4 linked regions of the Notamacropus eugenii genome follow. The protein of the gene in region 2 interacts with the protein of the main gene of each other region in a pairwise test. Links are inferred from orthologs where the notes say so. Each region holds a gene or a part of one and is shown on either strand. Other genes may lie near its edges.

What was found.
Region 1: the proteins of SAT1 (region 2) and DIPK1B interact in binary tests that used the Homo sapiens proteins (3 or more experiments, as listed by UniProt). The two-hybrid records come from large-scale screens. The link is inferred for Notamacropus eugenii from reciprocal best matches to the Homo sapiens genes SAT1 and DIPK1B.
Region 3: the proteins of SAT1 (region 2) and RBM17 interact in binary tests that used the Homo sapiens proteins (3 or more experiments, as listed by UniProt). The two-hybrid records come from large-scale screens. The link is inferred for Notamacropus eugenii from reciprocal best matches to the Homo sapiens genes SAT1 and RBM17.
Region 4: the proteins of SAT1 (region 2) and CCDC148 interact in binary tests that used the Homo sapiens proteins (3 or more experiments, as listed by UniProt). The two-hybrid records come from large-scale screens. The link is inferred for Notamacropus eugenii from reciprocal best matches to the Homo sapiens genes SAT1 and CCDC148.

What each region holds. Positions count from the first base shown.
Region 1 is NC_092872.1:489,126,445-489,133,877, forward strand, and holds the start of DIPK1B (divergent protein kinase domain 1B), read right to left. Parts: upstream 3,012-7,433; 5' UTR 2,098-3,011; coding exon 2,035-2,097; intron 1-2,034.
Region 2 is NC_092876.1:453,304,845-453,312,375, forward strand, and holds the start of SAT1 (diamine acetyltransferase 1), read right to left. Parts: upstream 3,009-7,531; 5' UTR 2,592-3,008; coding exon 2,526-2,591; intron 1,913-2,525; coding exon 1,861-1,912; intron 1,769-1,860; coding exon 1,685-1,768; intron 85-1,684; coding exon 1-84. UniProt on the Homo sapiens protein: Enzyme which catalyzes the acetylation of polyamines. Substrate specificity: norspermidine = spermidine >> spermine > N(1)-acetylspermine. This highly regulated enzyme allows a fine attenuation of the intracellular concentration of polyamines.
Region 3 is NC_092874.1:178,123,492-178,130,957, reverse strand, and holds the start of RBM17 (splicing factor 45), read left to right. Parts: upstream 1-4,459; 5' UTR 4,460-4,721; intron 4,722-7,466. UniProt on the Homo sapiens protein: Splice factor that binds to the single-stranded 3'AG at the exon/intron border and promotes its utilization in the second catalytic step. Involved in the regulation of alternative splicing and the utilization of cryptic splice sites.
Region 4 is NC_092876.1:217,434,222-217,441,269, reverse strand, and holds the start of CCDC148 (coiled-coil domain-containing protein 148), read left to right. Parts: upstream 1-4,036; 5' UTR 4,037-4,182; exon of another isoform or gene 4,183-4,206; intron 4,207-4,231; exon of another isoform or gene 4,232-4,375; intron 4,376-4,495; 5' UTR 4,496-4,663; intron 4,664-7,048.

The sequences.
Region 1 (7,433 bases), on a different chromosome or scaffold from region 2:
GTGCCTGACACATAATGGGTGCTTAATGATGCTTGATTTAGGAAGCCAGCATAGACATACACCTCAATGGAAAACCTTCAAACATACAGAGGTGCAGAATGAGGCATTCATTTTGCACATGACCAATATGAAATCATTTTGTCTGTCTGAATATTTGTTGCAAGCCTTTAACTTTTCTTTCAATTGGGGGTGGTAGGAGAGATAGGGAAGGTATGGATAGGATTCCCCCAACCAAAAAAAAAGAAGTGGAAAGAAAACAGAAGGAAAGTTATAAGGAATCGTTGATAAAATAGGACACCTTTGGAAGTTACTCGTTGAATTTATTACATACTTGAAAGAAAGGTAAGCTGTACATAATAGAAATTTACAGTTTCACGTATAAGCCCCTCCTGCTTCTATACTATAGTGTATATGAAAATGCACACTTTATTTGATGTTAGCTGTTCAAAATAAAAATAAAATTTTGTAAAAGCTTTCAATCATATCAAGCCCTCTCCCCAGTATATGAGAGTATGGGGCACAAAAGAGGGCTCCCTGGATCCCACTATACTTTTGCCTTCTTCTCTTCTCTAACAGGAGAAGTGGAGGAAATGTATGTGCCAGGAAGGCTTATTGGTCAGAACCATTCCTGCACTGGGTACTTTCCTCATGGTCTGGCCCCTAAAGGGTTAGGATGAGCCAAATTCTCTTTCCCTTCAACCCATCCCCCACCTATTAAGAAGGGAAGCAACATTATATCAGTCATACATGTAAAATCATACAAAATGTATTAGATTGATCTCTATCATGGCAACCAACCTGTGAACAATGTCCCTCTGCCAACCCTGCCTAGTTGGGTTGATTTCTGGCTATTTAGTTATCACAAGTATTCAAAAACTAAAAAAAATCAGAAAGCTTCAACCCCTTTTTGTAGGAAAGCACTAAATATCAGAGGATGTTTGTCCTCTCTCGTTGTATAGTCTACACCAGGTCCCTGCAACACACAATTCACCTCTCTGTCAAACTTAGAGTAAGTGAGAGATACCTCCTCAACTTTTGTACTTTACCTGTACTTTACATACCTCACAATTATTTTCTCAAATCATTTCCTTTCCCTCCTTCTTCATCCATCAATATAGACTTGAATTCAGCCTTTAGGAGCAAAAGGGCCCCAATGACAGCAGTTATTTTTCTGTTCCCTCCTACTTCCCTCCAGAGAGTCTGTTTTTGCAATGCCACTCACAAGCTAAGCCAGAGGGAAAGGAAACGTCTGTGCTAAGGGTCCATGCTCCTACCTGGATGAAACATAACACAGATTTCTTTTCTAAAACAAGGCAGAAGGGGAGGCAGAAGAGCAAGCATGTCAGAGGCAGGGGGCATCTCTTGCAAACCTAGAGGACATGCTGCCAATGAATACTTGTGCCCTTTCTGCAGCCTGGGAAATGTATCTGACCTGGCAGAGGGCAGCATTTCCATCTTAGCCTGAGGTGTCTTTCCCATCAGCTAGCTGTATCCACAATCTAGCTCCTAAGTGAGGGACAACAGAAGAACTAGTCTGGGTGATGGCTTGCCCTCCTCACTCCATGGCCTGAGGAAGAATCGTGGTTGGGGTGGGGCTGGGCAGACTGGCAAGGCTACACAGCTTGGAAGAAGGCAAGGGGTATAAAGATTTTGCCATGGATGGAGAGTGGAGCTGAAGGGAGTATGTTATGTACCTTCCTTTTTTCCCCTTCCTGGAAGGAATAAGAAGAAACAACTTTGGCCGTACCCAATTTCCCGGGTGATACCAATTTGGGGGAGGGGGAGTGGGTTGGAAAGGTAGAAAACTAAGGATCTCCTATTGTTGACTGATGACTTTCCCCGTTGCACAGCATACACTCCGAAGAATGGTTCCGAGAAATAAAAGGAAAGTAGCCCCTCTGACGGCTCCTTCCTAGCTGTGGCGACCCTTCCCCCTCTGCCCAGACCCGATCCCCTGACTTGGGAACGGGCCAACTACCCTTCCCTCTTCCCAAACTTCTGGCCACCAGCGTGCTGCTGCTTGCTTGGCCTTACCTGCAAGCCCTTGGTCAGTGGGCAGAAGAGAACCAGATGCACCAGACGCCGCAACCTCCTCATCCTGGCAGGGACTGAGGCGCAATGCCCGTCGGCGGGGGTAGGGAAGAGGCAACAAGAGGCCACGGAGCCCCGGGAGCTGCCCACTGCAGGCCCTAGGACCTGGATACGGGAGAGGGGCTCGGGGCACTTCGCCTCCCTTCCTCTGGCCGGACTGCTGTCTTTCTGGGTCCCCCTCGTTCTAGGGAGCCCCGCTAGGGGCGGGTGTCTTCAGCCCCGGCTGCGGCGGCCAGCCCCCAGCCGCCGGCGCCCCCGCTCCCTCTCCATCCCGGCCGCCCGCCGGGGCCGCAGCGGGCACTGAGCACGAGCTGGCGAGGCACGAGCCCACGCCGCCCCGCAGCCCGGCGCGGCGTCCCCAGCTCCCCCACGGCTGCTGCAGTGCTGCTCGCCGGTCACCGGCTCAGCCTCGCCGGCCCCCTCCCCGCCTCCGCATCCGAGCCCTTCAGCCTGCCCGCTGGCCCCTAGACCGGGCGCACGCCGCCGGCTCGGGCCGCGAGGAGCGGGGAGGGGGAGGCTGCAGCAGCAGCGGACGCCGCTCCTCTGCTGCTGCCGCCGCCGCCGCTGCTACTGCAGGGGGGATGCTCCGACTCCCCGAAGCTTCCCAGTCGCCTGAGCCGGGTGCAGCGCTCCCGTTAAAGGGGAGGGCGTTTGGCAGCTGGGACTTTTTGACTGCCGACCGAAAGGGCTAGTTAGGTTGGGATGAGGGGAGCTGGATGGAGGGAGGGGGAGGGGGCAGGGATTTGGCTGTCGGCTTCTAAACCAGGCCTCACCCTCCCTTGGGTGCCTCGTGTGCTGAGGTCTCCTCCCCCTATCCCCACAAGTTTTGGTTTTGCTGGCTGTCCTCATGAAAGACCAAATAGCCCCGACCTTTCCATAGGACACTTAGGACGTGTCAAAGGCATATGGTGTAAGCCTTAGCCTTCTTCCTTCCCAGGCTGAGGGTGGGTTTAAGGAAGTAGGGAAGTGACAAGCATTGGCATCGGATCCTCGCCCCGCCTCCCCCCCCCCCCCATCCTGTCTAGTGACTTTCCCCTCTCCTGGGCACCTTCGACCATCAGTGGGTTTGAATGGCTCCTATCATCGAAGAAAGTTACATAAATGTGAGCAATTGATAATGATATTAAAAGCTCATTACATGACACCAAAGAAAGAGCCCTGCATTTGGAGTCCAAGCACCAGAGTTCCAGGTAGGCTCTTAGGCTACCTACCCCAGCACCCTTCCTGACCAGTGTGTCTCTTCTGTCCAAGGTAAAAGGAAAACAATTTACCTTTGTATGGGGCCTTTATTTTTACAAAGTGCTCTCTCCCGGGCAGATTAATTCATTTGATCTTCACTACCATCTCCAGAGTCAGATAGTGTAAGTATTATTAGCCCCATTTTGCAGATAGGAAAACAAGAGACTCCCAAAGTTTAACTGATTTGTTCTTTTACTTAGTAAGAGCAGATTAGGGCTGAAATCTTTGCACCATATCACAAGGTTTCTGCAGAGATGAAGGACTCAGTAGGAGATACAGGGGAATCCCAGAGGCTTTTAATAGTTTGAGGCTAAGAGGAAGAGATCAAAAAAGCTTCTCTGGAAAACCCCATTCTACCCCTCCTCTCTAGGGGCCTCCCTGAAGATGAGGGTTTTTTTTCTAACTCAGTAATTGACCAAGTAGGCTGCCAGCAATGGCAAACCACTTCAGTATCTTTGCCAAGAAAACCCCAAGTGGGGTCAGACACAACTAAAATGCAGAGTCAGACACAACTGAAAGGACTAAACAACAAAGGTGCCGGGGGACCACGGGTTTATTTTTGTTCCTCTTGCCTTGCCTTATGTCTGCTGTTCAAATCTTAATGGATGTGACTCTGTCCTTGGGCTGAGTTGTACAAGAGAAACTACATCAAAGACCACAAGGTCACAATCTGGCTTCTTTTTCACTTCTCCTCCCTTTCTTGACCCTGCCGTTCCCAGAGATTTTCAGTTTCTCTGCCTTTCTGAAGGGCATCTCAATCTCTTCTTGGTCCACTTGAGTGACCAGCAAGGGCTTATGTCCTCTAGAGGTCTGGATACCATGATAATGCTGGAGGTGATAAGCAGGCTTGCTCCAACTTTATCCATCCCTTTGGTTCTAGCTTTTTTCCGAGAAAGAGATTGCTATCCCTAACTCATGACCATTAATTAAAGATGACATCCTCTCCCAAATCCCTTTGCCCAATTTTTTAAAAAATCAAGTGGTCAGAAAAATCTCAAAGATAGACACACACCAACAGACCACATTTATTGGGGGGCCAGAACGATGTTAACAGGTTCATATCAGATCAATTATTATAAAAGTCATAATTCCACAAGAAGATGAAAAATGAGAGCTGGGTAGAAATAGGAAAAAGAATCTTAAAGAAAGACAGGCTGCTTCCAGCCTTTGGGAAGACCCCTTGTAATAAAGGGGGAGGGTTCCCTAGAGGTTCTCTTTTGTTTTCAAAAGACCTCTTAGATCTGTTCTGCAAATTTGACATTCTCTGCTTCAACAATCCAGTTTTCCCAAGGGTTAAGACCCATTCCCACTGTAATAAGATATAATACAGCACCTTGTAATAAGGTGCTATAAAGCCTTTACTTTAAGATTCCCATTTAGTTCTGGAGTAGTTTTTGATTTCTTAGATCAAGGAATTTATGAGGTGAAGAATCTGGTCATTTGCTTTCTCCACCCATCCTAACTTCTATGTAATCTATTTTCTGCTGACAACAAGGTGTTTGATTCAGTAAAGGTGATACTACAAAGCTGGAGTACATGATAGAGCCCTTCCAAGTCTAGAACAAGTAAACCAGCCTGATGGGTACAACTGTATCAGTAATATGAAAAAGGTCAGGAGTATTTTTCTGCCCTCCATGGGAAGGACATGTATAGTATTTCCTAGCATGTAAATAGCATGATATACTGGGAGGTGCCTGGTACATACTAGGCACTTAATAAATGCTTGGTTGGTTGTTGTCCTTCATCTTCGAAGAGGACCAAAGTGACATCACCATGATAAAGTGAAATTTCAGTGTATCTGACTGTGGCTGATCAAACCAATATGAGCTCAGAAAGCTCTACCACAGGTTGGGCACAGATAGTCTGTGTGAATATTTGGGGTGGATATCCCAAATTTGCATATCCTGTGTTTATTTTGTGCTGTTTCAATTCTGCTTTGCTCAAAGAGCACAGTACCCTTTCTGAGGTGGGCATACCATGCTAGGTGGTCCTGTGCCAGCGTCTCCCATGTTGCATAGTCAAATCCAAAGTTCTTGAGAGAGACCTTGAGAGTGTCCTTGTATCGTTTCTTCTAGCCACTATGTGATCACTTGCCCCATTCAAATTCTTCATAAAATAGTCTTTTTGGCAAACGTACATTTTGCATTAGAGCAATGTAGCCAGCCCATCAGAGTTGCGCTCTCTGAAGCATAGTTTGAATACTTGGGGTATAGAGTGTGTTCAGGGATGAGCAGTACATTTGGTGTGATGGCTGCTGAGCCCTTTTCGGGGCTCTTTCCAACCTTTAGTGTCCACCTGCCCCACCTAACTCTCACTTGTGCCTCCAAGAAGCTGTAGCATGCACAGTGGCCACACCCTGGTAAACCATTTCAGCAAATGGGCCAAATCAGGTTGAGGGTAACCAAGGGTTCTCAAACTCATTGGTGAGTTAGGGGGGTGTCTACCCCAAGCATGTGAAGACTTCCTCTGGTGGAATGGGCAGATGAGAACAATTTGTTCCAATGGCCATGAAGGCAGCTAAAGCAGGTGATGTGGAGCGCTTAGAGCTTGTTTAGACACTGAAGACGCCAAGGTCATCCACTGCATCCTGAGCCTCTGCCAGCCATCTTGACTCTGTCCTGCCACTGGACTATGATTCACTGAATGACAAAGGTTCAAATTCTGTCTCTGCTACTTACTTATTGACCAACTGGGTGCATTACAGGACTGACCTGGAGCTAGGAAGACTCATCTTCCTGAGTTCAAATCTGGCCTCAGACACTTACTAGCTGTGTGAGCCTGGGTAACTCACTTAATCCTGTTTGCCTAGGTTTCCTCATTGGTAAAATGAACTGGAAAAGGAATGGCAAACCACTCCAGTAATTTTGCCCCCCAAAAAACCCAAACAAGACGGGTTCATGAAGAGTCAGACATGACTGAACAACAAATCTACTCAGTTGTGTGGTCTTGAGCCAATTACTTAAGCTCTCTAAGATTTGACTTCCTCTTTTATAGAAGTAAAGAGGTATGCAGGAAGGAACAGATGATCTTTAAGGCTTCTTCTGGCTCTGAATCCTATGACCATTGTGGAAGCATATTTAAAACCTTTTTAGTTTCTTTAGAAATGTTAAGTCATAATATTTTCCTCTGAAGCCTTTCTTATCCTTAGAAAAGTGATTGATAGATCCAGGACATAAAAGACTTTTCTTAGGGATATAGATTAAGAGTAATAACCAAATTTAATTCTTGTAGTGTTCACCTAAGAGCCTCCCTACCCATCTGAAGTGATTGGTGCTAGAAGCTATCCTTCTCCATTGAGAAAGAATTAATAAAGAAGGAAGGGAGAAAGTCCCTTTGTTTAACTCTAGAAATGTGGTGTTGTTGTTGAGTTTCAGTTGTATCTGACTCTTTGTGACTCCATTTGGAGTTTCCTGGGCAAAGAGACTGTAGTGGAGAGGTTTGCAATTTCCTTCTCTAGCTCATTTTACAGATGAAGAAACTGAGGCAAACAGGATTGAGTGACTTGCTCAGGGTCATAAAACTAGTCAGTGTCTGAGACCAGATTTGAATTCAGAAAGATGAGACTTCCTGACTCCATGCCTGGCACTCTATCCACTGTGTCACCTAGCAGTAGCAGGACTGTGTGGGAATAGGAACAGGATTATGACTTGATCAATTCTGGAATGTTAACCCAGACTATATTTTTAAATATCTGATCCTTGTTCAAGTTTCCTATTATTACCTGAAATCTTGGGGCAGAGTCACATGTGGAGGGACTTTGCAAGTTTGGACATTCCTTTCCCCAAACTAAAAGTGGCTTGGATATAGATTTACATGAAGTAAAATTGTTCCTGACAGATTTGAACCTGAATCACAGAGTACATTATTAATATTAATTTTTTTCTTTGACACCATCGATAGCGAACTACTGATGTGAATCACTTAGGTAGAGACTGACAAATTGTTTTTCCAATCAGGACATTGACAAGGAAAAAGAAGCAGAATTTGAAAGGGTTTCCGGACTTTTAGATGGTGGTAATATGTTTCCTTACTCTTTATAGGAACATTCTGTTTGGTTCAGGAAGCTGCTTATCTTGAACCTGGGTTCCTGGCTTAGTGGCATT
Region 2 (7,531 bases):
CAAAGAAGTCTTCAAGATATAACAGTTTCCCAATCCATGGGTCATATGTAAAGTAATACATAGCGAAGCCAACAATGCTGTATCCTGGAACAGAGGATCACAGAATTTTAGTAAAAAAGAACAGGAGAAAAAGTCCATAGCACTTGTAGCCACACACTCAGAATGTTTACAGGTTTTAGAATTTTACATGCATGGATCTGAAAACTAAGCTGCTATCACAGTCAGTCTCTGCATGCAGCTATCATTATGCTAGAACAGTACGATCCATTGTTAGGCTACCCTGCTGTTCTGAGTTTGCAAGAAGCGCACATTAGAGCTGGAGGCAGGAGAAGAATTCTGACATCTCTGAATAACCGCTTTGTCTATGTGTGACCCACTCTGCAATCTCCTGGACCCCTCACAGAAACTCCAACAGTTTTAATGGCTCGAGAGCTGAGCTGCTATGACCTTTATGTAAATACAGACATTATTCCCAACCTACTGCGTTACTGGTATGTCCACTTGTGAATATAAATCGAGTTTACACGGCAGTTCAGAATATTATTAAGTACAAGGAGTTCATGAACTCTACTTCCTTGAGGTTAGAACACCATGCCAGTAGCTTCAGCTAATTCCAGAAGCTTTTTTTTTTTTTTTCCAATTTACTCTCCCCAGTTTTTCAGGGCACAAGAGGCAGATAAACAGTGCTAAGTGACCTCCTTGTACCTTGGATCAGCAAGCACTTCACACTTAATCCTCTGCCAGGTGGGTGAAAGTGCTGCCTATTTCTTCCCTTTACTTTAAGGAACAGATTTCTGGGGGAAAAAAAAACCCAACACAGAACCCCCACCAATAAAAAAAAAAAAAAACCAAACCTCCTAACCTGAAACAGCCTCCACCCCCGCCTTCCTTAGAGAGTTTCCCTTTTTATCTGAGTTTCCCATCCAGTAAACAATGAGCCAGCAACTTCAAACAGCTGACTTAACTTTTGGAATTTGCCAATAGTCCCAAAAGGCGTACTAGTCAGTGGTCAAATTAAACGTTTTAGCCACTTCACCCTGGTTTGTAAACACAGCCAGGAAGAGATCCTAATGGAATTTCTGATCTACCGTGTGTTTGGTTTGGTTTGGTTTGGTTTTTACACTGTGTGGGAAGAGGACTTGTCCCTCTAGGCCTTACCTCATTTATCATGATCATCTACTTTATTGAGTAACGGATCTTTTAGTTACCTCCCCGCCCATCCATGTACACAGAAGGGCCATGTACATGGCGAAGCTAGAGACTGTAACCTGAAGATTGGGACAAATTAAAGAAAAAATGTGATTCAACACGATTACAGAAAAAGGTTATGTTAGGGTCAAACAAGAACTATTTTATGAAACTGAATTACATCAAATGACATCATACCCAGTTTTCCGGGGAATACGTAGGGCATTTTGCTGACAAACACCTCTTTTAACTCACCCTATTTTTAGAATGGCACTACATCCACTTTTTTTGGTTTTCTAGTTTCAACATCGGATTGCTTTATTTCTGGCCACCTTTCCCAAAAGCACACTCTCAACCTTCTGCATTAGCCAACCGTTCTAAGCAAAAACTAGACATTATATCAACATCCTGTCTCTTTCTGATTCCCTACTGGGGTGGGGGTGGGGAGAAAGAAGGGCAAGAGAAAGAACAGGACAGGTGGGGCAAAGTTAGTTACCTTGGGGTGTCCAATGCTCTTTGGGCACTTCTGCCACTAGACACTGGTAGAAAGGGTGCTCTCCAAACCCATCTTCAAGCAGATCTATAAGAAAGGCCAACAGGGACAGAAAATGGCTAATGGCTATGGTGCCGGTCACCAAGGCTATTAGACAAACCTCCTTTCAAATGAGTTACCTTTTTCAGTTAGCACTACTTGTTCTTCCATTTCTTCGTATTTTGCTAGTTCCTGGTAAGAGCAGATAAAAAGGGAAAGAAGAGAGACAAAACAACACATAAGAACCCGGAGTCCTTTTATCTCCAAGAGGCAGGGTTATTGTCTCAGCACCTGCAGCGCCAGGCTCAGGGCCAAGAGCTCTGCTCAGGGAGCGGGAGAAGTCTGGGCCAAGTTCCTGGTCCACTCTAAACACGCGCAACGGACCTGAAACTAAGTGAGGGGGGAAAATGCGAACTCCCAGATTTCCGCCAGAAGGGGCAGGCAGAAAATCCAGCCGCCTGCTGGTTACCGGCGTGGGCGGAGCCGTGCACCGGCCGCACAGACCATCACCCGGGCGGTGAGCGGACAGGGCGCAGGTTCTGCTAAGTTTGTCCCTGTCCTTGTCACTCCCTTGGTCTGGATTTCCGACCCCGGACCTTAGCACGGTCCCTGCCACGCAGAATCTCTCTCTTTCTTTCCTTCTTCTCCGTCTCTCTCTTTTCCTACGGGACTCTGGCCAGCTCAGAAAGTTTCCCTGCAGGGATGAGGGGAGCCCCGGGTGTCTAGGGTCCTCTAGGTCCTCTCCCACCCTAACCCCCAAGAAGACGGCCCCAGGCGGGCTCCGCGGGCGCGGCGGCCGGGCTACCTTGATCAGCCGGAGGATGTCACTGCAGTCGGCGGCCGTGGCGGGGCGGATCACGAAATCAGCCATTTTCGTCTCTTGCTTTTCTTCCCTTTGCGGACCAAGCCCCTGTACTTGAACAGCAGGAGGAGGTGGTTCCTCATTCGTCTCCCGGGAGCTTCCTCTTCCTAGTCAGGCTGGCAGCATGACCCGGGGCCGGCGGCGGCGAACGACCAGGGGGCTCTTCCCTAGGTCCGCGGAGATCGGAGCAGGTGTGGCCCCGCCGGCCCTCGCAGCCTCTGTTTATGGGGGAGCCGGCCCCGCCTCCGAGCTCCCCTCGGCCAATGGAACGAAGCCCGGCCCCGGCGAGGGCGGGTCCGCTCGCTCCCGGTCCGGCCCGGCCGGCCCAGCTCCTCCCGCACCGCCCTTCCCGGAGCAGGTGGAGCCCTCTTTCCCGGCCGGGAGGCCCGACCCGCCCTGAGCCTTCGCGGGAGGCGATGCGGAGGCGCCGCCTGCTGTTCTTCGACGCTTAGCTATGGCTTGGATTCGAGCAGAATTTTTTTAAAAAATTAAACTTTCTTTTTATGAGGAACCCAGATTTCATTTCTTCCATCTCCCTGATCCATTGAGGAAAAACAAACCAAACCTTGTTTTCTTTTATTTGGGGCATTAACTTTTTTTTTAAATTTGAATTTCGAATTATGTTCCTCGATTCCCCCTCCTCCACCCATTGGGAAGGCAAGACATGCGATGTCGGTTAGACGTGTAAAATCACGCAAAGCTTACTTTCCACAGTAGCCATGTCGTGAAAAACCGAGAAAAACAGTGAACAAATATGCGTCCGTCTGCCCCCAGCCCTCATCGGCTCTCTCTGGACCCGGGAGTATTTCTCCCCATAAATCCTAAAACACCTTGTACCCAACATGCGTATTCAAGAAAAACAAAATTCCAGCCCTGGCTGAAAATGGTCTCGTTGTGCCCCTTGAATGTGTTCCCTCCGAGCTGGGGGACGGAGACCTTGTTTCAGCATCAGTTCTCTGGCGTCTGGTCCATCTTTGTGCTGATGAGAGTTCTTAAGGCTTTCCAAGTTGTTTGTCTCTATAACGTTGTTACTTCTGGTTCTGCTTTCTGCGTTCTATATCCTCTTCCCCTCATGGACCGCTAGAGTGAAACTTCTCTCTCGTTAGGGTGGACAGGGAGGAAGGGGAGAGAAGACAGGAAAAAGGAGACAGGCTGCTTTTGAACTGTAGGTATTTGTTTCAAAGTATAGATAGGACAGTACAATTAGAGAGAGAAGGAACGAATTACCTCCTTTTATTTGTTAGAAACACCCCTGACTCTAATAAAGTATCAAGGAAAATGTATTGCAGCAGAGTTTGGAGGAATTGAACACTTTGGCTGCCATCCTCTTTTCAGGAGGAGGAGGGAGCGTTGGATACAGCACCAGGATGAGCTGTATGCCGCTACTCGAAGACAGATCCTCCCACCAGGAGATGGATTGGTCCATCCTCCATTAGGTCACCCTCTCTCTACATTCCCATTGTGTAACGCCCCTTGGTATGATCCTCCCTCCCAAACATGCTCTAACATAGGATCCATGATCAGAAAATGGAGGGATAATTTTATGTGGGATGTCTGCTTATATGCATGAGGTTCATTAAGCAAGCGCAGTGAAGACAAGCCTTCTCTAGGCAACTCTAGGTCATTTTTCTTGTCTAGTTTCAGATAGCTGTAGATTTGGTTCCTTTATCAAAAATTTTGTCATTTTGTCTGTCTGTCTTTTGACTGGTTGAATCCACCTGCAATCTGTTGGCCTTCTTATTTTCTAACTTATTCTCAATGACTTCGTCAATTAACAATAACTCACTGTGGAAACAACTTTTACTGTCTCTCACATATTACTCTCTTACACTGTGGTATTTTGATGTCCTCTAAACTTAAGCCAGAGGGACCTACATACAACTGACACATTTGGGGCTCTAAGATTTTCTGGGACCAGTGAAAAGTAAAAGACAGTCCCAAACAGTACACTACTATAAAGAAATGTTCTTCCCCTACCTTTCTCATAGGATCATAGATCTAGAATAGCAAGAGATGAACTCAGAGCTCATTTGGTTCAATCCCTTTCCATAACAGTCATCTCATGAGAGTTTATTTCCAAAACATCACCATTTCTTGGAGAAGAAGGATGCTATAGATGAAGATTAAAGTGTAAACAATAAAAAACCGACCTGGACATCTGGAGAGTTCCTTAGACAGTGTAGGTCTAGGATGAATGTGAGATCTGTTAAGCAGTCTCACTAAATAAATGCCTTTACCTTCAGGAGAATATTGTTGAGAGGATTTATGTTTTCTGTACTTGTGTAGGCTTATGAATCTTTAGTGTTTTAAGTATTTTCTCTGGTGGAGACAATAAACCATTGTCTTTTAATTGATATTTGTACAGGGAGTAACTTTTTTGAAATGGACACTTCTACCACCTTGGGGAGACCCTATACATGAACTTTGGTTTTAGAGATTTCACTGAAGTTAATCCACATCAAAGATGAGAAAGAGAACAGAAGCCTGACCTCCCTTTCTTTTTTTAGTGTATAGGATCCCTCCCAGCATGAACCTGGTTTGTAGAAATCCAAGGCTGATGCCTTTTGTGGAAGGGGACCACCTGGGTCACTAGTCATAACAAAAAGTGGTCCTTTGCAAAACTGCACATTTCAAGAACCTTACCTAAGTCCATAGTTGGGTCTGGGTATCCAGGAACTAAATGAGCATTTGTCATCAAGGCAAATGAAAATAGGTCCATCACTGAGGTACTCTCCTGAGTACTTCCTGTGTCAATTATGTAAAGGACAATTTAGGGAGGAAAACGATCATCTGAGAAAACAATTGACCCTCCCCATCAAGATCCAACTTCAGTTTGAGAACAGCGGGAATATGAGTTTTAAGGTATATTTTAAATACTGTAGATTAGAACTGCTCAGTGAAGAAGTCAATTGCTAGCTGTCAGGACCTGCACGCCAAAACCACTCCTCTCTTTTCGCTCCTCTGTCAGGACACAGTTTTCCAGACGAAGGCCCAGCAAGCAAGCTGTGCCCTGAGCTTGGCATAGTAACAGTTCTTTGCACTTGCCCTCTGGGAGAATTGGGCTGCAGCTAAACCACAGAACTGTCTCAAACCAGCCCCAGGTGGTCCCTGAGATTGGGCAAGCACCTGCAGGAATTACATTCAGGTCATGAAGCTGCGATGAATGGACTTTTTGTTGGAGGCCAAATTGCCACATTGTTGCTGTTCTACCTCATTGTAGTGGTTACACCTCACTGCTTCCTTCTTTGTCATGCCACCTCTGTATACATCAAGGATTAGCCTCCCTGTCTTGGGCTACCTTGGTCTTAGATCAGGCCCCAGCATGCATGTCTAGTTTCCCTCCTGTGATGGAATACAGAAGGCTTTTTATCTATAACCTCTGTGAGTTCTTTGGTGTTTTGTTTAATTTTTCAGTTGACAGTTGGAGTAAAGCTTTTTTGCTGAAACCTCTGTGGGCTGTTTGAGCATTTATTTTTCAGAGCTGACAAGTTACATGCCTAGCAAAGGGATTTCTGGGTCAAAGATATGAACGTTTCAGTCATTTTCTTAGCCTGATTGTCCGTTGCTTTCCAAAATGGTTGGACAAGGACGGAGTCAAGATGGTGCAGTGAGAATCAGCATTATTGCCTAGTTATCTCAATACATCTTTTCCACAACAACCTAGAAAATGTACTAAACTGAATTCTGATCAAGAAAGTCAAGCAAAGTTACAGTGAATCGCTCCCTCCCCACCCCCTACCCCCCCAGCCAGCTTAGGAAGACAAAAAGGGGGTTCTGCTGACTCTAGGGTGAGGGTTGTCCAGAAGACTGGCATCAGCACCAGAATAAGAGGCAATCATAGTGACAGAAAGAGATCTGGGGGACCCCAGAACTAGTGCTGGGGGCAGGAAAGGCTGCCCATCTGGCAGCATTGTCACCCATTACCCAGTCCCAGGTCACAGATTCAAGGGGAAGAAGAGCAGCCTTTACTAAGCACAGGATACTAGCTGAGTGTTGTTCAGTTGTGTCCAACTGTTCTTGACCTCACTAAGGATTTTCTTGGCAAAGATACTGGAGTGGTTTGTCTTTTCCTTCTCCAACTCATTTTACAGATAAGGAAACCGAGGCACACTGAGTTAAGTGACTTGCCCAGGATCACGCAGCTAGTATCTGAAGTCAGATTTGAACTAAGGAAGATGACTCCAGGCCAAGCACTCTATCCAGTACCCCACCTACCTGCCCACTACTCTGACAGCTTGAGAACTAATGTAATCTCTCAAGAATGTTGTTATTCCTAGGAGCTGAGTTAACACTTACTCCACCTCCTCATAGAACCCTCTATCCTTCAGGATCATTTTACCTTTGTCTTGTGACCCAAATCACAGTCTTGTTTGTGGTTGGGGGCGGGGTGGGGGGGGGGGGTGCGGGTTGAGAAGGGGAGGTCTAAGCAATCAATATCAAGGTGATGTCAAAAGATTTTGCTTTCCAGCTAATCAGGAGAAGGAACACCTATGCTCTGTGGTCTTGTTTATCACCATAGAAGACTGGGTCAGCCCTTCCTCAGCGTCTTTGACTGCTGAAGAGTCATCGCCCAATTTATTGGCTACTGCTAGTCTAGCTAATAAATTGATCTTGCTCAGATAATTTGCTGCCTCTATCAAGACAGCACACATTAACCACAAAAACGATTTCAACAGATATAGAAGAAAGCTTTTGACAAAATACAATCCCCATTCCTGCTAAAAGTGCTAGAAAGCACAAGAATAAATGGAGCTTTCCTTAAAATGTTAAGTAGTATCTATCTAAAACCAAGAGCTGCCCAGTTTTTCTTGACTTCCTTGTAGGTTTTCTTTTGTACACTACTATGTAGTTTTTGCTTTTTTTAAACCCTTTCTCCTCTCCCCCCAAAGAAGGATACAATTGATTAAGGATATATGTACATATACATAGATATCTATAAAGATACACAT
Region 3 (7,466 bases), on a different chromosome or scaffold from region 2:
TCATCCAAGCCACCCCCTCTATGGGTGAGGACACTGACCGAGGCCTTCTTTTCTCTCTCTACCATCTCTTTTGATAATTAGAATGTGCACTCCTTGAGGGCAGGGACCTTTTTTTTTTTTTGCCTTTCTTCAGTGCCTAGCATTAATATATATATGTTGACAGTGGGACTCTTGACGATCTAATTAGCTACCACAGATTTACCCATCATCTCTCTCTGCAGATGATTTCCAAATCTATACATATAGCCCTCATCTCTTTTGACCCCTAGGCTGGAATTACCAAATGTCTGCTAGACATCATCTTGTGCATATCTCATAGTCATCCCAAACCCAACATGTCCAAAACAGAAACCATTAACCTTTTCCCAATCAACCCCTCTCCTAATTTCTACTAAAGGCACTACAACCAGTGGGTCAGTAAACATTTATTAAGTACCTACTATATTCTAGGTACTTTACTAAGCATTGGGGATACAAAGTAAGGCAAAAGACAGTTCTTCCTTTTCAGGTTCTTAGTCTAGTGGAAAAGACAACATGTAAACAGCCAGGTAAAAAAAAGATATGAACAAGATAAACTGATAACAGATTATGGAACATAATGAAAGACTTCTTCCAGAAGGGGAGATTTAGCAAGGACCTGAAGGAAGCTGAAGAAGGCAGTAGTTAGAGAACCCCAGGCATGTGAGATAGCCAATGAAAATGCCCAGAGTCCAGAGAAGCAGTAAGTTAGTTATTTAAAGGACACCAAGGGAGGTCAGTCACCCAGGTTCACAACTACTCTCCCACTCTCCCTCCCTATCTCCAATTCATGGAAAGGTCTTACTGAGTCTGCCTCTACCACATGTTAAGGGATGTTAAGGGGTCCCCTGAACTTGTCTTTTTGAGTTGCCATATTTTCCAGAAACAATGAACCCAGAGCATGCAGGAAACCCTAAACGTGTCAAGGATGAAGCTGACATAATTTGTCATTGCACTCCCAAGCTGGACTCCCTGTGTGTCCTTGAGAGGCAAAACAGGTGCCAGCAAGTCTGTGCCAGGCTAGGACAATGTTTGTGCAGCCAGGGTCCTTTGCAGATAAGCAGACCCTCCTGTCTTTCGTAGTCTAGCAATTCCCAAGGGAAAAGAATGTGGCTTTTGCCTTGGCCTGCTCCTCCCCCGCCTTGCTGCATGGGTCCCTTTCCCATGTCACACTCTTTTCTGGCATCCCCTCCTCCCTCTGTCCTACAATTATAAAAACGAAAACTTCTGTAATAATTGTGAACTTTTTGCTTCACATTCATTTCCACATTCCTTTTGTAATAAACCTAGTTTTCACCTAAGTTTTGTACAGGTGTGATTTCCTATTGGTGCATATCTCTGCATTCTATTACTATTTCTGTTCATACAACAACCACCCAAGTTCAAGCCTCATCACCTCTAGCCTTGGCTGACAATAAATAGCCTCTTCACTGGTTTCTTGCCCTTCAGTTTCTTACTGATCCAATCCATCCTCCACTTAGCTGAGAAACTGATATTCTTAAATCCCAGACCTACTCAGGTCTGGGCTCAGTTCAGGCTGAAGAAGCTCGGGTGGCTCCCTACTGTCCCTAGGAGGATAAGAAAACAAACGCCTCTGTCCAGCAAGTGAGGCCCTTCAAAATCTGGCTCAAACTTGTCTTTCCAGGCTGATTCCATCTTATTCCCCTTCACAGATTCTGTGTAATAGGATGTTCCGACTGCTGCTTCTGTGCCTTTGCAAAGACTTCCCCCACCACCACCCCATCCCATCCCCTTAAGTCTGTCCCTCTTCTTCCTTCAGACTCCACTCAAAAGCCACTTTTTACAAGAAGAGGCCTTTCCTGATTCTTCCAATTGTTAGTATCCCTCCACCTTGAGGTCACTTTGGGGTTTTTTGTATATTCATTTATCTGTAGTATACTCTTTTGTGCTCCTACCCCATCCCCCAGCTGTTGAAAGGCACAAACTGTTTCGGTTTTTGGTTTTTTGTTTTTGTCCACGTATCCCTATTACCTAACTCAGGTATGTTCAACTGCAGAAATTTAATAAGCAGCCCTTATGGAACTTCCATTCTTTGGGAAAAGTTGAGGGAGGGGGAGAGGGAGCAAGCAGGCAAGCAGGGGAATCCTTTTCTGTTTTGCCCCAACAGACTATGCCTAGGGGCTGACCTTAGGGGATAATAGTTCCTTTTCAATACAGAAAAACCATTTTTCTACTCCTTACCAAGTTACTATCTCACTATCAAAGCAGCTGTTCCAGACCTTTTCATCTTTCCTGCAGTCTTCCATGGTACCCTCTCTGCCCCACCCTTAACTCCACCCTCCAAGCTGACTATCCTATCTTTTACTGTCACTGAAAAATTTGAGACCATTTGCCAAGAGTTCCCCTTTCCCTCCTCCTGAGAAAAACTAGGACCGGACACTTGGTTTCTTTTTGAACAGACACCATCTGTCTTTTGAACATCACTTAACAGGATGTTTTCTAACTGGATGTTTAACTGGAGTCTGTGATCCCTCCTTCAATTCATCTTCCACTTAGTTGCCAAGATGCTTTTTTTCTACTCAAAAAATTCCAGTGGATCTCTACTGCCCCCTAGATTAAATACAAAATCCTCCTGTCTAGTCATTAAAGCTTTTTCCTAAACTGACCCCTTCCTGCTTTTCTATCCTTTTTAAACTTTATTCCCCTCCATCCTACTTGTTCCTGAACAGACCACTCCTTCTCCTGATGACTTTCCACTAGCCTGAAACACTTTCTCTCTTTGCTTGACCTCAGCTTTCCCGGCCTCTTCCAGAAGGCTGGTCCTCGCTGGTCTCTCCAGTCCCTAGCGCCTTCTGCTCTCGGATGGTCTGCCTGGTGAGTTACCCGGACTAGGAGCTCCGGGAGCCGAGGGCTGTTCTCGCCTTGGTTCGTCATCTCCAGCCTTCACCGCAGCGCCCGGCCCACAGCGAGCGCACATCTTGTCGATTTCCAGAGCCTGGATTGCCTACAAAGTGCAGAGCTCGGAACACTTACCAGTCCCCTCTTAGGGCTCGGGGTCCTCACCTGTACAAAGAAGACTCCTATTTGTGCTACCTGTCTCACAAGAATTCTGTGAACTTATAAGCCAGCTCGAACTAGTACTGTTACTGCAAGGCGTGAGTGAGTTGTTGTTCGTCCTGGGTTCTTGAAGAGGACCAGGGATATCAGGAGCGGGGCGTGACCTGGATTGAGGTGAGGGCCTCACTGTCCCCTCGGAGGTACCGTTGGCAGGACACAGGCTGGGCTGGCCCAGGGCGCAAGGGGGGACCTTGGCCTTTCTGGGTCCTTCCCAGGTCTCACTTGGTCTGAGGCAATGCCGGATCAGGAATGAAAGGCGAGGTAAGAATTGAGGCCGAAGATGGCCTAGCTTGCCTTCCCAAAAGGAGGGGAAGACCATAGCATAAGCCTTGGCCATGCTCTGAGCCATCAGAGCCCAAACAATGACCTAGAGGCGTGGGCGGGGACCTGTTATTGGCCAATCAGTGAGAGCCAGAGGGATGTGGTCAGCTGGCTCCAGCTGATCCCCAATGGACTTTATTCAAGCCTGGCTTTCCAGGGCTTTATTTCAAGAAACCATAAAAGAAAACTACACTGGGAAACAGGAGTTAATGGCAGGACAGCCAGAAGAAGGACAGGTTGGGGAGGCCCCGCCCCTTAGAAGGGGGAGGTAGAGGCTGGAGGAGCCGAGGCTCCGCCCCCACTCGTGGAGCTAGACTGTCTCCTCTCCGCCTCGCTCACACGGCGCCCCCTGCTGCCTGGAGGTTGATCCCGCAGCACAATTTCTCCCTCCTGCGGCACATCTGCAAAAAGAAACTGAAACGTGGCCTGATTTTGCTGCAGAGAATAAGCCACCTCCAGAAAAGAAGGCAGCCAAATGGAAGGAAAAATATGAAGCGGCTATCGCAGCAACCTAAACAATTAAAGGAAAACCTGAGACCAAAAGCTGTGGTCCCCAAAAAGCTGTTGTTTGTAGAAACAGAAAAGACGTGGGCACGACCAGTGACTGGCAGTGGGGGTTACTTTTCTTCCCTTCAGGCTGGAAATCAGCACCATCCTCCTCAAATGAGTCATCAGGACCAAAGTTCGAATCCTGCCTCAGACACTTACTAGGTGTTGGGATCCTAGGCAAGTTTCCTCATCTGGGAAATGGGGGTGTTGAACGACTTTAGCCCAAAGCCATCAGAGAAAGAAGGACCGAGGCCAGAGGGAGGGTAGCAGGAAAGGGGCCAGGTGCTGTCAAGTTTTACCTCTGGGATGGGATGGCCTGTTGAACGCTCACCTGCGCAACTGGGGGCAGAGCTCGCCCGAGGGTCCTTCCCCAAAGCTCAGAACCTAGGGCGAGGATGGGAAAGAGGCGAGAGTGAGGCGTGCTCCTGGCCTCCCACCGATAGATGTCGCCCCACAAGCAGACGCCTGCTCCTCCCGCCTAGCCCTGACGCGCGCTCTCCCCGCTACCGACCGCGAGCCGCCGCTTCCTCCACGCATTTGGCGCAGGGATTCGTACGGACCGCGGCCGTGGCGTCTCCTGACGCTTACGCCGTTCGCGTTAAAAAATCCTCCCGCCTGGCTTCCGGGGCCGCTCTGCCCTTACGCGGTTGGTGGAGCTGCGGAGCTTGCGCACTTCGGCTCGGCTGCCCCAGCCACCTCCTGCCCCGCTGCCGCTGCCGCTCCGGCCCATGGGGAAAGTCAGCCGGGCCCCCCGGGTGAGTAACCCCCTCCGGCCCCCCGCCCCGCGCACAGGCTCCCCGACCGGCCCCCTCCGCTCTTCCCCGAGGCCCATGCAGGCCTGGTCCGAGCGGGAACGCCGGCCCCCGGCCCCGGGGTCGGGCCGGCTCTAGGCCGCGCTGCGGAGGGGCCGAGGGAGACTGGCCGGCCCGCCTGGGGCCCAGACACCTGTCGTCTCCCTCCAGGTCTTTGCTGGGCCCTGCTCCCGGCCCTCTCTGATCCCCTTCCTTCCAAGGGTAAGGGGCGCTCCGCTCTTGGCGGCTTACCCCCCACCCCTTCCTGCTTTCACCCCCTGCCCGCTTCCCCTTCCCGCCGCTCCCCTCCCCTTCCTTCGAAGAGCGAGGAGTCTCCTGCTTTTAGTTTCTTTCTGGAATCCCCTCTTCCTACCCCCCAGCCCCTCCCTCGCTCTCCATGCCCCCCCCTCCTCCCTTGGCCCCTGCCTGCTGCCCACTCTTACTCCCTCCGTCCCTTCTTTCTCCCCCTCCCACCCCTTTCCTGCCCTCCCCCTGCTCCCCCCCTTCCTTTCTGCCACCCCCCTCAGTCCCACTTGTTGCAGCTCCCCCCCTCCTTTCCATCCCCTCTTCCTCCTCCCTCCCCCTTTCCCCCTTTCAGACCCTTCTTTTTAGAAGCAGCTCACAGCCCGGTGAAGAGGCCGTTGTGGAATTGGTGGGGTTAGCCCAAAGGCCTCATTTCGTGCTTCAGAAAACGAAGCCACTAGTGAAAAGGATTGGGTGCTGGGGGGAAATGAGGGGAATCTTAGACAAAGTGGCCACCCCATTTTAGCGTTTATGATAGATTAGGCCAGGAAAGCCGGGCCTAGTGGACTTGTTTTGGGAGAGTCGGTTTCAAAGTTTTCTGACAAAGCATGGATAGGGTGCCACAGACTCAAATTTTACCTGGAAAGCCTGCCTAGGAGCCATAAGAAGCAAGAAAGAATGAATTGTGAAAACCCCAAGAAATACTTCTGATGAGAAGGAAAGGAGAGACTTACTGTATGTGCAGAGAACTATGGGAGGGTTGGTGGAGCTTACAAGATTTGGGGGGGAAAGAGGTTCAAAGAAGTGCCTGGTGCTCAGTAAATGAAACGATGGCCACCCACAGAAAGGAGAGCTACCAGACTCTTTATTTTTTTTGCTTTCTCTACTAAGGAAAATGATCTTTGGATTGGAAAGGAAAACACAAAAATGGCCAATAGGGAGATGATCGAGCAGAGATAAATAGGAAAAAAGTTGCAGAACAGTTAGCTCACTTTGAGGATTTTGAGTTACAGGACTCCAAACAATTGCTTTCAGAGTACTGAAAGAATGGACTGATGTTCTTGCTTAGCAGCCACTCTGGGGTGATATCTTACAGTTCCAGGAGGATTCTGGAGTTCTACAAGATTTAAGAAGCCTACTATTTCAGGGACAGTAACGTGAGTTAGGAATACAGAAACATGGAGGGTCTTGTTTGAGAACCAGCAAGGAAGCCAGTGTCACTTCACTAGGTTATTTGGGGGGAGGGCAGGCTCAAGGTGGCTAGTAAGATATAAGAAGACAGGAAAGGTAGGAAGGGGCAAGGTTATGAAGGGCTTTAAAAACCACAAACAAAGGATTTTATGTTTTATCCTGATGGTAGTAGGGAGCCACTGAATTGAGGTGAATAGGGAGGTAACATAGCCAGGCCTGTACTTTAGGAAGATCACTTTGACAGCTGAGTAGAGGGTAGATTGAAATGTGAGGAAAGACATGAGTCCAGGAACCTAACCGCAGGCTATTGCAATAGTCCAGGTGTGAGGAGAGGAGGGTGTCAGTGTCAGGAGCAAAGGAGGCCTATTCCAGAGATGCTGGACAGGGCTTGACAACAGATTGACTATGGAGAGAGGTGGAGGGAAATGAGACTGAAGAATCTAAGATGACTCCTAGGGCTAGAACCTTAGGCCCTGGACTAAGAAAGGAAGAAGGTTCAGTGAAACATTAAATTTTCAGCCCAAAAGGTGGGGCCTGCAGACTGATGAAAATGTTTGGGAAAGCTCCTTTTATGATTGGGATAGTGACTCAACTAGGGAGATAAAAGAATTGCCTTGCTTCAGTGGGATTCCAGTTGAAATTATTTTACTAATTTGTAGTGGACTCAGCAGCCAGCAGCAGAGATTATTGGACCTAGGCTTTGTAGGAGAGAAGGGCAGAGATATTTATTAAGCACCTTGCTATGTGCCAAGTGATTTACAAATATCTCTTTTGATCAGCAGAGTGAAGGATGGTTTGGAGTCAAGAGTAATCTAGAGGCTGTTAGAATAATCGAGGCAAGAGGTGATGAGGGTCTAAACTGGGTGATGTCTGTATGAGTGTTGAAAAGGGGGAAAATATTTTAGCAGTAGAAAAAACAGTGAATAACTGACCAGACATATGAGGTGAATAAGAATGGAGAGGTGATGGTGACACCAAGGTTTTGAACTCAGATGACTGGAAAGGTGATCATGTCTTTGGAATAGGATTGAGTTTGGGAGGGAAAAATGAATTTGGACATGTTAAGTTTGAGGTGCCTTTAGTAAGGGGCTCGTAGGACATTCTGATTGTCCAGAGCGGGGAAGGGAATGAACTCTGCAAGTTATAAGCCCATGAGTTTAAATTTGATTCCTGATACAATTCTAGAACATGTTAAGAAGGATGGATGATTTCTCAATAAGGGAGAAGTAATCTCAAAAAGTCAGTGTGGTTTCTTCAAAAACATGTCATTCCAGA
Region 4 (7,048 bases), about 240 Mb from region 2:
TAACAATTCCCATGGGTAGTTTATGCACTGGAAGAATCTTGAATAAACCTTTCATTCATCTTTAAAGGGAGGGATACAGGCATTAATTCTATAACAGAAATAAACAACCTGAGGAACAGAGATATTATTTGCAGATTATAACACATACCCTAGATTTTATAAAATTCCCCAAATGTTATTTCATCAACTGATTGGTATATTCCAGATGAAATGCAAATGCTAATATAATATTTACGATCATATGATTGTTTAAATTTTCTCTTAAAATCCAAATGTAGCACTAACATCTTTATCACCTTTTTACAAGAAAATATGAATGAGATTATAGGGCAGTTTCTGCAGTTTGGATTTTGTAGTATGACCTACAAAACTATCTTAGAATATAGTGAAAAAGCATTTTGTATTTTGAATTAAATCACAAGTTATATTATTTTCTATCATCTCTGGTCATAAGGTCACAGTACCTTCCTCAATACTACAGAATTTAATACTGCACACCACGGACAGATTTCAGGGGGTCCCAAAACTTGGATGGGAAAATAAAATTACATCATTATAGCAATACAATTGTTTCCTATGTGATCCTATGTTTACTCTATGCATTTAAAAACATTACTCTTGAGACTAGGCTTTGGTGAAGAACCCCTGCTCTTGTGAATCAAACATAATGGAGCAATTTCTATAAACAGAATCAAAACTTTAGAATGCATGATTGAATACAGAAAGGTCTCTCAAGCAGTTAAAACCATCTACCTAAAACATGTATACAGTATATATATAGCTATTTCAATTTGCAACAGAGAATACAGCAAGGAAACAACCTGTTCTCTATCCTTTAGAATGAATTTCAAATCAAATAACAATATAATTTACCTTGTACTGTCACTGGTTCTAAAATGTTACATAATAAAAGTTTGCTGCTACAATTACAAAAATCTATGTCCTTTACAATGATAGATATCAAGCAGACCCTTAATTTAGAATGTTCATCAACTGTAAACATAGGTATAAGAAAGCTTCAGTGGTAAGGTGTAATTTTCTCTAAGTTTTTGTTTTCTATTTTGCCTTGTCCAGTTTTCATACAAAAGTTTCATGCTATACTCTTCATGGCTCAATACAAGCCAAGTGATCACAGAAAAATATCTTAATTTGGCAAATAAATTTATCATTTTCCTGAGTCTGATCCAAAATTTTCGGAGGAGTTTATAGATAACATTCTCAAAAGCAAAATGTGTCCCATATAAAGCACACACAGTAGGTCTCTCAAAGCAACATACATAATCACTTTTACTTTTCGTTCCTTCCCCCCAGACAATAATTTTGTTTGTTTCCATTAAGGTTTCTCTACAACACCAGAAAGGAAAGCTTCCAACAAATTTTGTTTAATGTACTTGTACAAAATCATCTGTGACCTTGTTACTAAAAGTGTCACCAAAAAGACAAGTCACATAGCCAAATGAAAGAGAATGTAAAATATTGCAAACGAAAAAATTCTCCTCTCTTTAAAAATATATCAAAAGCATTCTTCAACTTGTTTCCTTCATGTTAAGAAAAAAAATCAACTTTTCACTTAAAAAACATACCAATAATTTTTCATTTTATTCAATTGAGCCACCATGCTTAAAAGTTATTCTCTTTTCCTCTTCCCCTTCTCCTAAAAGGACTGGGATAATTACAAAACCAGAAACATGACCTTTCTTAATAAATATAAATCTTGGAATAGACATGTCTGTGATTGTTATATCTCATTGTATTTCTCTGCTATTTCAAAAGGTAATTGACAAGCCCCTAATTTAACTGTACCAGACAGTTCTATCTGTCCCATCTCTGGTCAAACACTGCCTCTCTGTTTCTATTCATTATGCATTATATGGGATTCTAAAGCAGCATGGCAGGATCAAAAATTACAAATCTCATGACATCTGAGGTCCACAAATCTTCAGATTATGTCTCCCTTCACAAGCACTAACAGACATTATTAAAACGGCTAACCATGTTGTTTGCAACAGCACCATCCTAAAAACATCCACCTTCTGCTTCTCTGAGAACCCAGTGGCACACAAAAATCAGACACTCATGAAACACTGCAAACCAAACTTGAGAAGATTCAACGACCAATGACCTTGTTAAGTGGGAGTCTTTTTCCCCCTCCCCCCAATTCATCCTCCTGAAGAAAAATGCCGCAAAACCGAGCCGAAGCACGAATACTGCCTGCCAGGCTGACGGCAGGCAGATCTGCTTGTCACACTTCCCCAGTGCCCGCTCTGCCGCAAGGAGAGAGGGAAGGAGGCGGAGAAAAGTAAGAGCCTCACCAGCTCCCGAGAAGATGCTCCAGTGACCTCTGGCTAATGGAGAGAGCTGAGCAGGGAGCGGCGGCAGCGGCAGGGTGTGCATACTCTGCCCCCAAAGCATTCCTCACATTCCTACACAATCTACCGCCCGAGGAACAAACAGCGCGCGTCTCCTCCAGGCACACACACACCTGCCTATTCATCAGCCCTAAGCGGCTACAACCACGGTTTCAGAGCCGCACTCGGCGGCTTGTCGCACTCCGCCAACACGCAGCTAAATCCGAGCCAAATCCCCCTCCCTGCCCGGGCAAAGGAGGCTAGTGGCAAAAAGCTGCTCCGAGACAGCCGCCCAACGGCCGAGGAAACGTTATTTCAACTCCTGCGCGTAACATGTTGGGGAGCCTGGGGGATCGGGGGAGAAAAGATGTGCAGGAGGCAAAAGAAGACTGGTAGAGAAGTGAACTGAGGAGTACATGCAGGAGTGCGGATCAGGGGGAAAGGGGCTAAAGCAACACTCACGGAGAGAATAAGGGTGTGTGGAAGATGACCAAGAAGGGGTGAGGGGTGCAAGACAGACCTCCACGCTGGAATTGGGGTAGGGGAGGCGGAGAAGAGGTGTTCAAAGAAAGGAAAAGCGCAAAGCAAAGTGGAAGATCTAACCAGTTCTCCAGAATTCAGTTAAGACTGGTGGGAAGAGGACAGGGGTTTAAAGGCTTGTAGGAGATGGAGAATTTAGGGCAAATCAGATGAACAGGAGGTTTTACTAGAGAAGAAGGAGTGGGGGAGTGGGGAAGAGAAACGAAGGTGAGGGCAGAATGAAAGAGGGTATGGGGAAGAGGAAGAAGAAGCCAAAGTACGGGGCATAAAGCCAGAAGGGACAGGAGAGGGAAAGGAGCAAGGGCAGATTTGCAGGGAAGGATTAGTCGGAGGGGAGGAGGAGGGAGAGGAGGTTGGTGGGGAAGGGCGGAATCTGAAAGCCACAGACCAGGGAGAGACCGGAGAGTATAAATATATACACAGTCCAGGAAGGTAGAGAGGTAAGCAGAAGGGAAGGGGGAAAAATCCTGGGAAAAGCAAATGGAGGTGGAAACTTCAGTGCCTTGGGGGGTGGGGGGGAGGGGAGAAGGCGAGTGCAGGCAGGAACACGAGGCGGGGCAGGAAAGGAGAGAAGTAGGTGGGTGGGGGCGGTTGTAACGGGAGTCTCCCCTTCCCACACCCTCCCCCACCCTCGCCCCGATCCCGAGGTTTGCGGGGTGAGCCGAGGGAACAGTACCAGGAGTCGGGAAGTGAAGGGCCACGGAGTGGGGGGTGGGGATAAGGTTCGGCGCCCTCCCCGCCTGCCGCACACTTACTTTCCAGGTTAGGAAGCGGCTGCCGACGCTCCGGGAATCGGGGACATCCGCGCGGAGGGGTCGCGGCTGCGGCACCCAAAAAAAAAGTGCCAGGGCCAAGGGAGCTTCCCTCCCCTTCCCCCGAACCCCCCCGCTGAACCCCCTCCCGCCCGCCCGCCCCCTCCCCTGCAACACTTCTCCCACCCCACCCCCGGGAGGCGGCGGCGGCGGCCAACTTCCCCCTCTACCCGGTGCCCATGGTGCCACCTTCCTCGGCGACAGCACGGAATCAGCCCCGGTGCCTGGGTGCTGCCGAGCTCCGCCAAGCAGCCCCCACCGCCCAGTCAGTCAGTCAGTCAGCCAGCCAGCCAGCCTAGGGCTCCCGGGAACGTCAGCACGCCGCCGTCCCCCGACCTGCTCCGCACCCGCTTTCATTGGACGGCAGGAAAAGGCTGTCCCACCCTATTGGCCCGGCCCTCATATTGAACGGGCCAATGGAATTCGGGGTTTCAGGTCGCCATAGAGACCGATGCTGTTAAGAGCGAGAGCGGCTAGAAAAGGTGGAGAGGGTGGGGAGAACGAAGGTGTCCGGCTTCGGGGGTGGGGACCCTGGGGGTGGGTTACGAGGAGCCAGAGTATCCTAGATCTAGATCCAAAAAGGACTTCGGGGGCCACCTAGTCCAGCCCCTTCATTTTACTTTTGAGAAAACTGAGAGCCCGGAAGGTCCCAGTGATTTGCCTAGAACCACCCGGGTAGGAGGAGGAGTGGGAGGATTTGAGCCGGGGGGATTCCCTCATTCCGTATCTTAGACGTGGATTGGGTGGGCCTTCCCTTCCCTTTCTTCCCCTGATTTCTTGCTTCCCCCTTGACAGGCCTTGTCCGTGGTACCGAAGACACCCTACCCCACCCCCAAACCCATATAATTTACCTGTCCCTGAAGGTGACCTCAGAAACAAGTACTGCATGCACTTGTCCTTGGTTTGGGAAACGGGCCCCTGAAACTACGCCCTTTGACCTAAATGCAGCATCAGCTAATGCGGGTGAGTCTGTTTTCCCATCCTTCCCTCTTCCCCCATATGCAAAATCCCCTGAATCTTGTGTTACTCAGGAATTCCTTTTCTGCATATTTATCTCACCCCCTGAAGATCTCACTTCAAAGTCGATGTTTGAAATTCAGGCCCCAACCGGGAGATATTTTTCAGGAGTATTTTTCCTTTAAAGGAAAACAAAAATGGCAAGGAAAAAGTCAGTGTGGTGAGTTACATTTTACAGTGAGTACAATAAGGACTGGAATTTAAAACACATTTTAACCTAGCCCACAACTTCTCATCTCTCCTTTAGTATCAAATGGAATTTATTAAGCTTCTGCCCATAATAGAGCAACAAAACAATCCAAGTTTGACAGACAATATCTATAGTAAGTAGGAGATTGGCTTCTGGGTAAAGGTATAATGTGCAACTTTAATGCCTCATGCTTTTTCATATTTGTATCATAATCAAGGGGAGAGAGGATGGAATCAAAATTCTGGTCAACAATTTTTAGGGAGTTTAATATTCCTTAAACTTAAGTGTGAACCTGGTTTCAGGTAACTGGAGTGAGCATGTGCATCTTAGGTTTTAATCCTGCCTCCCTTACTGCTTTGCTTTATGACATAGTCACCCTGTTCCTGTTTCCCAATCTGTAAAATGGAAATAAATGTTATTTTTCTAAGTCTAAAAAAAGGAAAATGGACCCAGTTAAAGCAAGGACAACTAATGAATTTCACAGGAAATAATTATTATATTATTGCAATGGAATATAACCATTAGTTTTCTAATGATATTTATTTTATTAAAGATAAAAGGTTTTTTTAAGCTATCAATATCCAGGTTACATTTTTATTAAAGAACCTGCTGTTTTAAAGACAATTTTGTGAAAAATGATTGTGTTTTTGGAATATCTAGAAATTTGAAGTATTTAGAAATATTTCATTGAGAGAGGAAAGTCTCTTGCTTCTGTTATGAATCTTAAATTAGATAATGTGTTTTGCTATTAGATTTTTTAAAAAAAAGTTTGGAAGCATTATACAGTAGTGTCCCTGGTCTAATCATAAATATTATGCATTAGCTCATTAATAGGGTGACTGTGTTTTCAGGCTCCGTAATATGTGTGATAAAATCCAAACCTAGTTGACATCTTTGTTCAGGGTCAGACAATCCCAGATGGCAAGTGAACATTTGTACAATTGTTTGTGGAGTGACTTGTACGTATCCAGTGCTGGGTAGGGAGCAACAAGTCAGTGGGTTCAGTGTTTTCTTGCCTTACCATCATGGGAATTTGGTCTGCCTGCTTTGGAAAGGGATAACTAACCATGCTTCTGTTGAAAGACAGAATAAGTAAAATTCAAACTTTATAAATGAACCCACAGGAAAAGTAATACATTGATGAGCATACGACATGCCAGTGCTATATAAGGTTTGATTGTAACAGCTTATGAATGCAAGGTATTTTTATTAATGCAGATAGAGCAGCAATGATTTCATTTTCTCCATTTCTGGGGCTGAATGGGAAGCAGAAGAAACAAAAACAAATTATTTTCATTGTAGAATTATATACTTTTCCAAAATGATGAATTTCATTAGGATTTTATATTGCATATGCTGTTTGTAATAATTAAAATTGAATAAAATATAACTAATTTAATTCTGTAATATGCTACAGCTCAATATACATTTATTTTACTATAACTATGGTAAAAATGGTTCTCTTTGATAAACCTACAGAACTCTAGCTACTGCCCCACTTAAAGAAAAACTAACATTGTTTGTTTCAATTAGGCTTATTTAACAGATAAATTAGTAATAGTTTGGATTACAATATAATTCTTTGCCATGCTCACAACTTCACTTCGGGGATCCTTTTAGATTATACTGGGCTGATATATTTTAAAATAATATTAACTTTACAAAAGTTCAGTTTATGCTCAACTTTTCAAGAGTGCAGCTACTTTGTAAAGTAGGGGCTTATTGTCAATCAAGTCAATCAAGTCTGACTCTTCATGACCCTATTTGGGGTTTTCTTGGCAAAGACACTGGAATGGTTTGCCATTTCCCTCTCCAAAAGTAAGGGTGCATTTGTATTAGATAATTATTCTTTGGTATACCACTTTTTTGCTAAAATAAGAGTGCAATTGCACTTATTTTGACCTGACAAAATCAAACAAGCTATTAGTGCCAAAAAATGGAAAAGAAAAAGGCAAAGGTACGAATCTTGACTATCATCATTTCCTGCAAAAGTATAACCTGTTTGTTGTCCTCCTGACAGTTTCCTTTAGCACTCTTTGTGTTTTTTCTTTTTTCCATTTTTATCTGTAGTACAAGAGGAACCACCACATGTAATCCCCAATACCTTGGTCCCAGATCTTTATCCAAGAAAATAGAAATGG